3 linked regions of the Drosophila melanogaster genome follow. The protein of the gene in region 1 interacts with the protein of each later gene in a pairwise test. Each region holds a gene or a part of one and is shown on either strand. Other genes may lie near its edges. The genes, in order: CG44251, CG43897 and shep.

Region 1 (3,756 bases):
TGCCGGGGGTGAGGCTGCCCTGGAAGTAACCACGGCCCACGTACAGGGGCTCACCCTCGCCAGTCTGGCCCACTTGGATGGCATGGGGCGGGACAGATCCACCACTGGACGGGATCCAGGAGAAGTGATCACCGACAAGGACCTCGAAGTCATGCTTGCTGATCTCCTGACCGCCCCATGGCACATAGGCCTGCTGCTTGCCGGGCACCACCTTCGCTGGCAGCATCTCTCCATTGTGGTAGGCACGGCCCACAAAGATGGGATCCTGGTCGGAGTCGTGGCCAGCTAGGATGGCTCCTGGGGGCAGGGATCCGTAAACGTTGGTGCTAATCCAGGTGTAGTCTGAGGGCGAATAAAATATATATATAGAGCAAGGTCAGAGGCGATAAGTTAACTTGGGCCAACGAGGGCCAACTGTACACCATTAATCAGCCACAGTAGAGGTTTTTTGTCTTTTATTTGTCAGGGTGTAGAATCGCTGGATCTATGGAAAGCTACCAAAGCTCCAAGGGATTTCGGCTGTCAGGTGCGCGGAGTATCGATGACACTTGCCCACTTGTCACGACTAATTGCGGCACTATGCTTTCGTTTTCGCCAGAATTATCTTAGTCACTAACTTTGCACTTCAGTTCTCACCTCCCATGTTGTATTTGTGTGCTTTTTTTGTATGTTGATTTAGGTCTGGAACGTGATGTTATATACTCGCTGGCTCCGCTATGTTTGGGCTGACTTCAACGACTGGTCGCTACCCGCACATCGGTTGCGCCTTAAAAGCTGTTGTTTCCGCTTATCAGTTCGGCAAGTTAGCCGGCAGTGATAAGATATCTTAGTCACACTGCTCTGAACCGTTCGATTGTGTGTGTTCCACAAAGGTATCCTCATGTCGTAGAGGGTGTTCGTCATTGCGACCAACTGACAGGTGTGTCAGAATGTATATTGGATGATTTTGTTTGGTAAAAACAATTTAAATTCTGGGTTAAACAGGAAGCGCAACCAAAATTACTCAATCGATCTTGTGCATGAATATTTGTTTTTGTTTTTGCGGGTTTTATCTATAAGCAGTTGGCTACGAATCTTATCGCCGGTAGTCAAAAATAAACTTCATCAATAAGTTCGTAAAAGATTATATGTATGAGGGTGGCTGTCCATGGATCAACTATAAGTTCAGGAATGCTTTTCTAGAACAAAAATAAGAACCAACATGTAAACAGTTACCTAACCTTCTTGTGGATTATTCAAATCATAAACCTAATAATTGAGAAACCTTTGGAAAACTAACTGTAACTGTTGTAAAGTTACAGACACTTGTTTGGTCTAAAGATGAGTCAATTGCGATATAAAGTTATTGATATCGTTACCGCTGAGTCACATATGTATATTTATACTTTTTAATGCCTTTTATGCCTTACATAAATGCATACATACATATGTCCTTTGAAATCAGTTTGTTTGTTATTACAAAGAAATTATTAATTAAAAGAGATAAAATAAGCACATACATTACACTAAAGGTTTAAAGATTATTTTTAATATTTCAGTAGGTAAAAAATAATTCAAAATGAATGATCCTTTTTCTATTAAAAGTACAAATTTTCGACATGCTTATCGCCCCTTCAACGGGGGGGATTTTTTGAGCATGGGCGCTTCTGGCAGGCGTCATATTGTTTATGGGTCTATTTAATTGGGGTTCCACCTGTTGAGAGGGCACAACAATAACATTTAAAACAATGTCCACATGCTTCGATTTACTTGTTTTTTTCTTTTACTCCCAAAAGTACCGCCTGTTTGGGCCAATGATTCATTTTCGATCGATAAATGGAATGCTTTTCTGGAAATGGAGCTTTCGAGACTGGAAGTTAAAATTAGTGATAGCAAAGGTCCCAATATCAACTGCACTTCTTTTTTTATATATGTACAAATGCGAATTGAAAGATAAAAGCTCGCCGATAAGAAGCAGTGACGAATCGCTCTGGTTCGGTTTTTAAACGTCAGGCTTTTGCAAACCAATAGTTTAGTGAAAAGACAAACTTTGGTCAGTTCAGACGCATTTTGGAGTCAGAAGAACGCAAGTGAATAAAAGAAACTATTTTTCATAGGAATAACTTATCAACAATTAACGCACAATGGGTAAGTAGAATGAGTAACCTCTGATAAGTGCAACCAAAAAAAAAAAAATGATTTTGCAATGCCAAAGTCTAATGAAATAAGTGTAATTTACCTTCAAGATCATCAAAATCAAAAAATATATTGTTGCATATTAGCTTAATTAAATTCAATTTCCCAATTACGGGCGAAGAAATCCGCAAGTGCTGACCAATTCTGTTGGTATTGCGATTTTTTTCTCTGTGCACATTAGCCGGAAGAAAAGCAAAGAGCATTGAGTGACTTCTACAGTTCTCCGCCTTTCTTTGCTCTTTCCAGGCGCCGTGCAGCCAGGAGGAGTTGTGACCGTTGGTAGGACGAGTGCAGTGAGCCCAGGGTGAAACCCCTACGCCTCTGTGAAACCCCAAATCCCATTTGATCCCCGCCCCCAGACCACCTAGGCCACCCAAAACCACCCAAACCCGCAAAACCGTACAGCAAGCCAAATATGTACACGGAGAAAAAGCTATGAGAGTATGAGTATAGAGTGAATCATTATATTGTACATTGTACTTAATTTTTAATCAAAACCGTATCCATTTAATAATGCAGCTTCGGGATGATAAATGTTTACCTTTTGAAAAAGTACGAAGTTAGTAAATCTTAATCTTTTTTTTTTTAATAACAATATATAATATCTATCAAGACAATATTAATATAACAGTGATTTAAATCAATCAAGTAGAGTTTTAAGATATTTCCAATGGAAAGGACACGAAACTTACTCTCCGGTTTTCGCTCTGTGTACAGATAGGTTATCTTATCGCGTGGTATCAAACTTATCGCCCTACTGCCTTTCTCCTTGCAGACAACACCTGGGTGCACTCGTCTCCATACAGCCCCCTGCCCCCATACGCGGTTATCGGTGGCCATGACTCGGACCGCACGCCCATCTATGTGGGTCGATCCTTTCACGAAGGCGAGAATCTTCCCGCCAAGGTCGTACCGAGCAAGGGATGCGCCTATGTGGCCTACGGTGGTGCGGAGCACACGAAGACGCACTACGAGGTGCTGGTGGGTCAGGGATTTGCCTGGGTGCCCAGTTCCAGCGGTGGAGTGCCACCGAATGCGGTGAGGAGCGGAACGACGCGAACGGGCGAGCCGCTCTATGTGGGACGCGGACATCATGCCGGAAGCTTGACTGTGGGCAAAGTTCATCCATCGCACGGCTGCCTATACATTCCATTTGGCGGCCAGGAGGTGCGCATCAACACCTACGAGGTGCTCATCAAGCAGCAGCACGACGTCTGGGTACCGGCCTCGCCCAGTTACACTCCTCCGGGCGCAGTGATCGCCGGACACGACTCCGACCGTACTCCCATTTACGCCGGAAGGGCAATGCACGAGGGTGAAATGCTGCCTGCCAAGGTGGTGCCGAGCAAGGGAACCGCCTACGTTTGCTTCGGCGGATACGAATTCCAGAAGCCCAGCTACGAGGTGCTCACTGGCTACGGATATGTATGGATGAATTGCGGCCACAGCATTCCACCAAACGCCGTAACCACGGGTCGTGCTCGCAATGGAGAGCTGCTGTACTATGGGCGAGGACACTACCAGGGCAGTTTGACACCGGGTCTGATCTCGGCCAGCCAGCGTTGCCTCTATATTCCGTAC
Region 2 (3,756 bases), on another chromosome or scaffold:
TTCTATTAAAATTTAAAAAATAACAAAAGTATTTGTAATACTGGAGAATCACTGCACCCTTAGCCTCAACCGTCCTATTATTATATTTATATTAAGAATGATAAATGATATACAAGAATTATAAGTTTTCCAAAACGAAGTATAAAGCAATTTATCAAGCACTTTAAATGTTGTTAAATTTATATTAAAATAGCATTTCAGAGGCATTTATAAATATCTACATTTATTTTGAATACATCAAATAAATACTGTCAACGAGTTGTAGTCAAAAAGTGCAGGAATGTTCATCGGCTAAACATATTGATATATTTGCAGCCAGAGAACGAGAGTTCAATTAATTAAAATGATTTATTTTTGAAAAGCCGAACCGCTTACGCATTTGCACATATGGATGAGTGACTTTTATTACCTAATTAACAATAATGATGGCATTAAATTAAAATACATTGAAGCGCATTTGGCAGATATTCAAAATATCGACATCAAAATTACCACCTTGAGTTCAAAATTGAAAACAAAGGGGATTACAGTGCAGGAAAGCTCAAAAGCTAGGCAATGGGTATGAAAATGTGTTCAAAACACCCACAAATCTTCGATGCTGATTCATTGTAGGAACACCTTCTTTTTCCAACCGCCACTGTAAGTTGGCCACATATTTAGACCTCTTTTTGCCCACCCGCCAGCAAGAACAACAAATAAACCAAATAGTTAAAAAAAAACATTAAAAAAAAAGAAGAGAGCGGCAGAAAAAATGAATTATATATGTATAAAAAATATTCGGTCGCCGTCGATGAGCGACAAGATGGAGACAGCGGCAGCGAAAGATGGATAGATACATTTGTATCTGTAGCTATAGATTGTATATGCAGGCTATAAGGCCCGACTATTACAGCATTTTTACTGCCGCACCCCTCGCGCCCCCCCCCCCTCCACCGACCACCAACATAACACGGCACGTCTCTAATATTCTATTTTTGAGCGTAGTTCTTGGTTTTTCTTTAATTTTATTTATTTGATTTTCGTTCTGGCTTTCCACGTCCTCGCCAGCGATGTCAACATTTTTACCCTCCGGACTTTTATATGTCTTCTTTTTTTGTATTTTTTTTTGTATTTTTGGTAAGCGATTTTCCCCCCGTACCATGAAAATAGCACAAAGAAAGAGTCCATATAGAAATCGAGGGGAAAAGGGGAAGAAATGCGCTTAAAATGCCATTTAATTGTTTCACTTGCAGCAAAATGGGTTTTCAGTATTTTTGTGTTTCAGTTTTCAGTTTTTGGTTTTGTGCTTTCTGGCTTTTTGGTTTTTCTCGCGGTTGAAGTTGATTTTATTTTGCCAGCCGCCTTTACGGCTCCACTTTTTAATTGTGCTTTAAATGCTAATTAGCTTTTGTGTGTGTGCTGGATGCAAATGCAATGGACAATTATATATATACATATATATATATAATATATATCGCTTTGGTTTTCCTTTAATGCATTTTATTTAATTAATTTTTGATGGCTCTTTCGCGGCTGGGAGTTTTTCATATTTTTTTCATTGTTCGCCACTATTTGCAGGTGACACATTTTCTGGCATTTATTTTTGGGTTTTCTGGTGCAGCACGCACACACACACACACACACACACACACACATTACACTTTTATGCCCACACACAAAGGTGCACCTGTCGCTGATGCACTGGCGTTGCACTGTCGTACCGTACCGGACTCGAAATTCGGACTCGGGATTGTCGGTACACTCGGAACTAGGAGCTGGCTGATGTGGTGACCACGTTCGCGACCACGGTGCGAATTATTATTGTTACTCGCCGCTCAACGAAAGTCGCTGCTAGCGCTGCTGCTGTCGACGGAAAAGTTCGCGAAAGCAGCAAAAGTTGCTCTTGCTCTAGTTGCCTTTTAATAATATATTTTCATATTCATGGAAAATCGCTGATGATGACACCCCATCGGGTGTATCTTTTGTGTGTGTGTGTGTGTGTGTGTGTGGGGGGCACCCAGCCCAATCCTCCGCCTTAGCCAAAAAGCATAGAACGCCCACTCACACCCGATTATAAATTAGCCACGGACATTGGGCTAATCACAAATGCCCCCTATTCCACTTGCTGAAGCCAACAGGAAAATAAGGAAAAGAGCACTTCAAGCCAAGAAGCGTTAGTGGAAAAGCGATAAATATTCAGCACCAACATACATACGCACACACACACACACACACAGAGTGGCATGTGTGCTAAAACAGCTAATTAACAAGAAAACAACGATTCGATATATGTAGTACATTTCTTCTCCACCTATTCACACGCATACGATACCAATTTTATATGCATGTTCCTCTAAATATTGAACGTTTATTTTTGGATTTTTGGAAAGCCATTGAAAACGTTTCGAATGCCCTGCAAACATACCGGGTTATATCGACTAGATGCATGGTTTAGTTTATTTAAGTTTCATATTTTTTCATTGCATACTTTTGGCAGCGTCGACAAGCTGGGCTTAAATTGGATTTCTATTTGCAGTTGATTGAAGTGAAACCGCACACAATTGAAATTGCTGCACAGAGGCGAAAATCTTGTTCAAATATTGTAAGGTAGTGTTCATTTACTTAATACCATTTAACTCGGAAAAGAAACAAAAATCTACACCAAGATAATCTGGTTCGTTAGAAGCTCAATCTGAAATTGCTTTTTCTTACCTTTATGTTTCTAAATTTTTAATAAAACTAAAAAGCAATCATAAGCATTGATGGAATGAAAAAGGAATGTATATAACGTTCTACTCATGTATTTAAGAAAACTTTTCTGATGAGAATTAAGCTAAGATAAAAATATACCCAAATGTATCCTAAATGGCCTTTTTTAAATATTTACATAAGTACTATCTTAACAGATATTTTTTTCAGTGTGATATTCGAGCACGGCATTAGACAGGCGTCTGTTAACACACGTTTCGATATTTGTTCGTTATCCCCCGCTCATTGTTTGTGCGTTGAGTATTTATACCCGTGTCTCGTAGTGAAAAAGGGTATACTATATTCATTGAAAAGTATGTAACAGGTGGAAGGACTCTGGTGGGATCTCTAGCAGGATTCTAGCGGGAACCCAGATATAATATCGATGTGGCCTCGATATCAGTAGCTATAAAAACTAGAGAGATAGAGTTTATTTTCATATTTTGCCACGCCCACAAGCCGCCCAATACAGCGACGACCAAACTTTTGAAAAATGTTTTGATATTTTTCTATGTTTTTAAATATCTTTTACCAGCTGAGTAACGATGAGTATCTGATAGTTGGGGAACTCGTCTATGTCATTCTCTCTAGTTGTAGTTTCCATCTGCTTATATTTTTGGAAATTTTGTTTTGCCATCAAGAGCAGCGGCCGCATGATCGTCAGAATCAGCAACTTAGCGCTGTTATATTGTTGTGCCCTGCAATTTCACAAGTTCATGTGCTTTCGATGCGCTCAAGCACAACAATTAGTGCATTCAGTGTGTGTTCTCGCCATTGCTCACCTGTGCACCGCCCACCTGTACCGCCCGCTAACCCCCCCCCCCCCCCCAACATCCCCTCGCTCCTGCGCCTGTCAGCGAAATTTAACCCATGCACAAAAAGCTCCGCTGCAGAGCACCTGACAGGCAACTAAGCTGCCTGTATTTCACGCTAGAAAGCCAGCAAAAAATAATATGTTTAATGTTTGTGAATGATTAATGGCACATTAGAATTGAAATTGTTTTTGGCTACGGCAGCAGAAGCAGCAAA
Region 3 (3,756 bases), on another chromosome or scaffold:
ATTGATGCACGAAGCTATTGATTGATTGATGCCTTTGTTGATCTCTGATTGCTTAAATGTTTGCCCAACACTTTTTTTTTAACAGGCTATTTCGAATTGCTTTCGAGTTTCGAAGGGGTAATGGTGACTTTCTACGTTTTAAGACTTAAATCATTTTCGTAAAACTGTACACTTCAGTTAAATAATAGATATTCTAATATTGTCTGTATTATAAAGATGCAATATGTATTTGACTTACGTTTGAATAGTTCTGGGATCTCGGAATCTGCGGCGGCAATTGCTGGGCATTCGATGGCCCCCTCATGCTAACGCCTCCACCTCCCCCGCCGCCCTGCTGCTGGTGTGGCGGTCCGCCCATCTGTTGCTGTTGCTGAGGGGGCGGGGCTGGGCTGTATCGTGGGTGCATTTTTTCTAGTTTCTTAATAGCACTCTTAAATTGACTTGTGACTGCGAAAAGGGGAGTAAATGAGATAATGCAGATTAGAAAGAATGAGTCATAATTGTAAATATTCTATAATCTTAAGACGTTGCAGATATAAACATTTGCATTAATTGGAGATACAGTCTTAACTAGACCCCATTTTTTATACAGATCAACTGCTCAACCTAAATTAATTATGACAGTTTGTTTGTAATTAATTAAATCATTATTATTATTAAATAATAAAACAAAGATTATATATTTTAATGTATAAAATGAGGTCAGTATTTTTTCTGCTAATTAAACTTTTCGTCTATTTTTCTACCACTTTTTTACAGCCCAACCCGTTTGCTCTGACTGCCGCACGGCAACACTGTTCTCTGCACTCTTCTTTCTCTCTCCCACTCTCTATTTTTATTGCTTCTTTTTAGCATTCTGTGCCATATTCAGCTTATTTTGCCGTGCTTATAATTTGTTATTAATATTTCACTAGCAACTTTGTTGATTATTATTAGCACCACCCGTCTTAAATTGTTTTTTTTACTTGCAACGGAGCATTCAGCGAGTTATTTTAGCACTGTTTCTGTCTCTTTCCCGCGCGGCAGTTGCAACATTTGCATTTTGGCATTAAAAATAGCACACAGCACAGGCCAGCCAATTTTTTTTGGTTTGCAAATTTATTTATATGCCGCCAGACAGCCACAAACACACAGGAACACACAATAATTTATTGATATGCGGAGGAAATTATTCAATTGTTTTTACGCTATTGCTTTTTATCAATTGCACTTGTTGTTGTTGCTATTTTTTGTTATTGCTTATTTAAGGACAATGACAGCAAAATAGAGAAGGAGAGCGCAGTGCACAAGAGAAAGAGAGTAGAGAGAGAGAGAACAAAGAGCGGGTGGAAAGAGCACCGGCAAACAACAAGTGAGCAAAGCAAAAGGTGAAAAATAAATTTGCACTGCGATAAGATTTAAATAATTATTGCTCTCTCTCTCTTTCTCTCATTTGACTTTTTCGTTTTTCCCAGTTGTATTATTGTTTTTCGTCTGCTGTGCTGTGCCGTTCTTATTTTTGTATTTTTATGCCATTGCTTTATGTATTTTTTATCGAGTGCATTGCTCTAAAACAACAACATTCGCTTTCAATTAGCTGAGAGCCGCAAATTTGTTGCTTTTGCCATTGTTACGTCTGCTTTGCGGGGCTTCCAAAGGTAGTTTTTCCTCTTGTTCGATTTGCTTTTGGATTTTAGCTTTGCCTAAATGTTGCTTACTTATTGAAATTTCGTTTTATTGCTGGTTTGTCAGCTGCTGATGGCTCTTCTTCTTGCTTCTTGTTGCACGTTCTGTTTTTTTTTTGCACACAAACACACGCACTCACAGTCGCACAAACACAACACACACACACAATCTCACGCCCACGCACACTATTTGCACTTGAAAGTAATTCGACTCGTTTTCGTTTCGATTTTTCGCCCTTTTATTTTGCTGTCTTCGTTATTTGTTTGTTGTTCCGTCACGCGTTTTAATTTATATATTTATGCAAAATATTACAACGACAAAATATAAGTTTGCGCAGCCGAAAAAAACGAAGAAAGCGCAACGCGACAGCAATCGGCAATGGTATGAGCTTCTTCTTCTTCCTTTTCTGCCGGCAATGCTCTCTTCGCTCTCTCGCTTAATTTACAGCAATCTACAGTAGCGGAAAATAGTCTAGGTGCGACTCATAATATTAAATATTTTCTTTTACTCTATGTAGTTTAAACATTGTGTAAAAAAGAATTTTCAGCGGCGAGTAGCATAATAATAAAGGTCTTAATAAAATAGCACAAGAACTTTAACTTCGGGTTGGATATGTGGCCGTGTAGCAAATATATTCTGTGTACATACTCCTTTTTCCGCTACTGTATATATTTCTTCTCTTCAAATTGTACTCTCTTAGAAAATTTCTCTTCTTATTGCCTCTTATTAGCTTGCGCTTTGCTGTTTAACGAAACTCTTTCGGGTTTCTACTGTATTATTTATAACAATTTTATTAATTTCATGCATTATATTTTTTTTATTTTCTGGAATAAAATTCAAGATTATTAATTAAAAAATCGAAATAACATTGTAAATATTCGAAAATATGCATTGCATACAAAGTTTTCGTCATTACATTTCGTCACTAATCAAAAATAAAGATCCGATTTAACCAATTAAAATCACCATTTTAAAAGCCTATTTTCAGTGCTAAGTTTATATAACTTTCCTTTTTCAAATTTGATACACATGGTTGTCAGTTTTCCCAATCCCATTATATCAGTTCATTACGCAAATGGCGCAAAATAAAAAAAAAAATAAAATAAAAACGTGTGCACCAAAAACTGTAAAGCCAGCAACAGCATCTAGTGTGTTATTTTGAAATATTTAAATAAAATTAATATTCTCAACAAGTGCGTCGCATAAAAGGGCGACACACACCACACGTCCTTCCGCCCGCTTTTCACCAACCACCACCCACCGCCCCATAGCTTTTGGCACATAACAAAGGACTAAGGGACTAAACAAATGATGCATGATGACGACAACGAAAAATAAGCAGATAGGGGGTTAAAACTGAAAAAATCGAAATGAGAGCGACTCCCACGCATTGTAAAGCACTGCCACGCCCACTGCCCACATAAAACCCAACCACTCAGACAGCAGCGGGCGAAAAAATATAAACATTTAAACTTTTACGGCGACTTTGATTTTAAATATATATATATATTTTATTTTTATCCAGCTTGATACATTTCAATAGATAACAACTTTTTTTTACAATTAAGCTTTTATATCTAATTACTTGACTCGCGACTGTAACATCTCCAAGTATAAATACATATATGAAGACAGCCTGTACTGCCACTCCCACCGCCCCATAAGCCTACAAACAATAAATTTGCAATAGCAACGACAAAATTTGAAGAATGGGCCAGGACCAACAAACAAGAAGCAGCATCAGGAGCAGACAGAAAGGACAATACTCGAAATGAAATTGGATGGAACAAAAAAAAAATGTTAATACAACAAAACATGCAAGGAATTTAAATTTATCTTAAATATGCAAATTTACTGACACTATCGAGATATGCAAATTTTCCAAAGCAGCAGCGGCAGAAAAACAATATACAACAAAAATGAAGCAAGAAATCAACGAATTTTAAAACAGTGAAAACTGGTAAAGAAAGTTAAATAAATATGTATACCTAATAATTTGGACATCCAAAATTTTGAAAAAAAATTGTACTTTATTATATTATTGTTTGTCCCTGCAATAATTAACTACAACCTTTAAATGAAATCTTTCTA

Evidence for each region.
Region 2: the proteins of CG44251 (region 1) and CG43897 interact in a two-hybrid assay, tested with the Drosophila melanogaster proteins (one large-scale study listed by BioGRID).
Region 3: the proteins of CG44251 (region 1) and shep interact in a two-hybrid assay, tested with the Drosophila melanogaster proteins (one large-scale study listed by BioGRID).

The regions. Positions count from the first base shown.
Region 1 is NT_033778.4:12,950,544-12,954,299, reverse strand, and holds the start of CG44251 (uncharacterized protein), read left to right. Parts: upstream 1-2,006; 5' UTR 2,007-2,123; coding exon 2,124-2,127; intron 2,128-2,421; coding exon of another isoform or gene 2,422-2,454; intron 2,455-2,950; coding exon of another isoform or gene 2,951-3,756. Other genes in the region: CG13321 (uncharacterized protein), read right to left, coding at 1-342, 637-643; CG44250 (uncharacterized protein), read left to right, coding at 2,124-2,127, 2,422-2,454, 2,951-3,756.
Region 2 is NT_037436.4:9,811,872-9,815,627, reverse strand, and holds the start of CG43897 (uncharacterized protein), read right to left. Parts: upstream 1,782-3,756; 5' UTR 1,706-1,781; exon of another isoform or gene 1,667-1,705; intron 1-1,666.
Region 3 is NT_037436.4:5,275,917-5,279,672, forward strand, and holds the start of shep (alan shepard), read right to left. Parts: upstream 2,029-3,756; 5' UTR 1,698-2,028; intron 448-1,697; 5' UTR 407-447; coding exon 239-406; intron 1-238.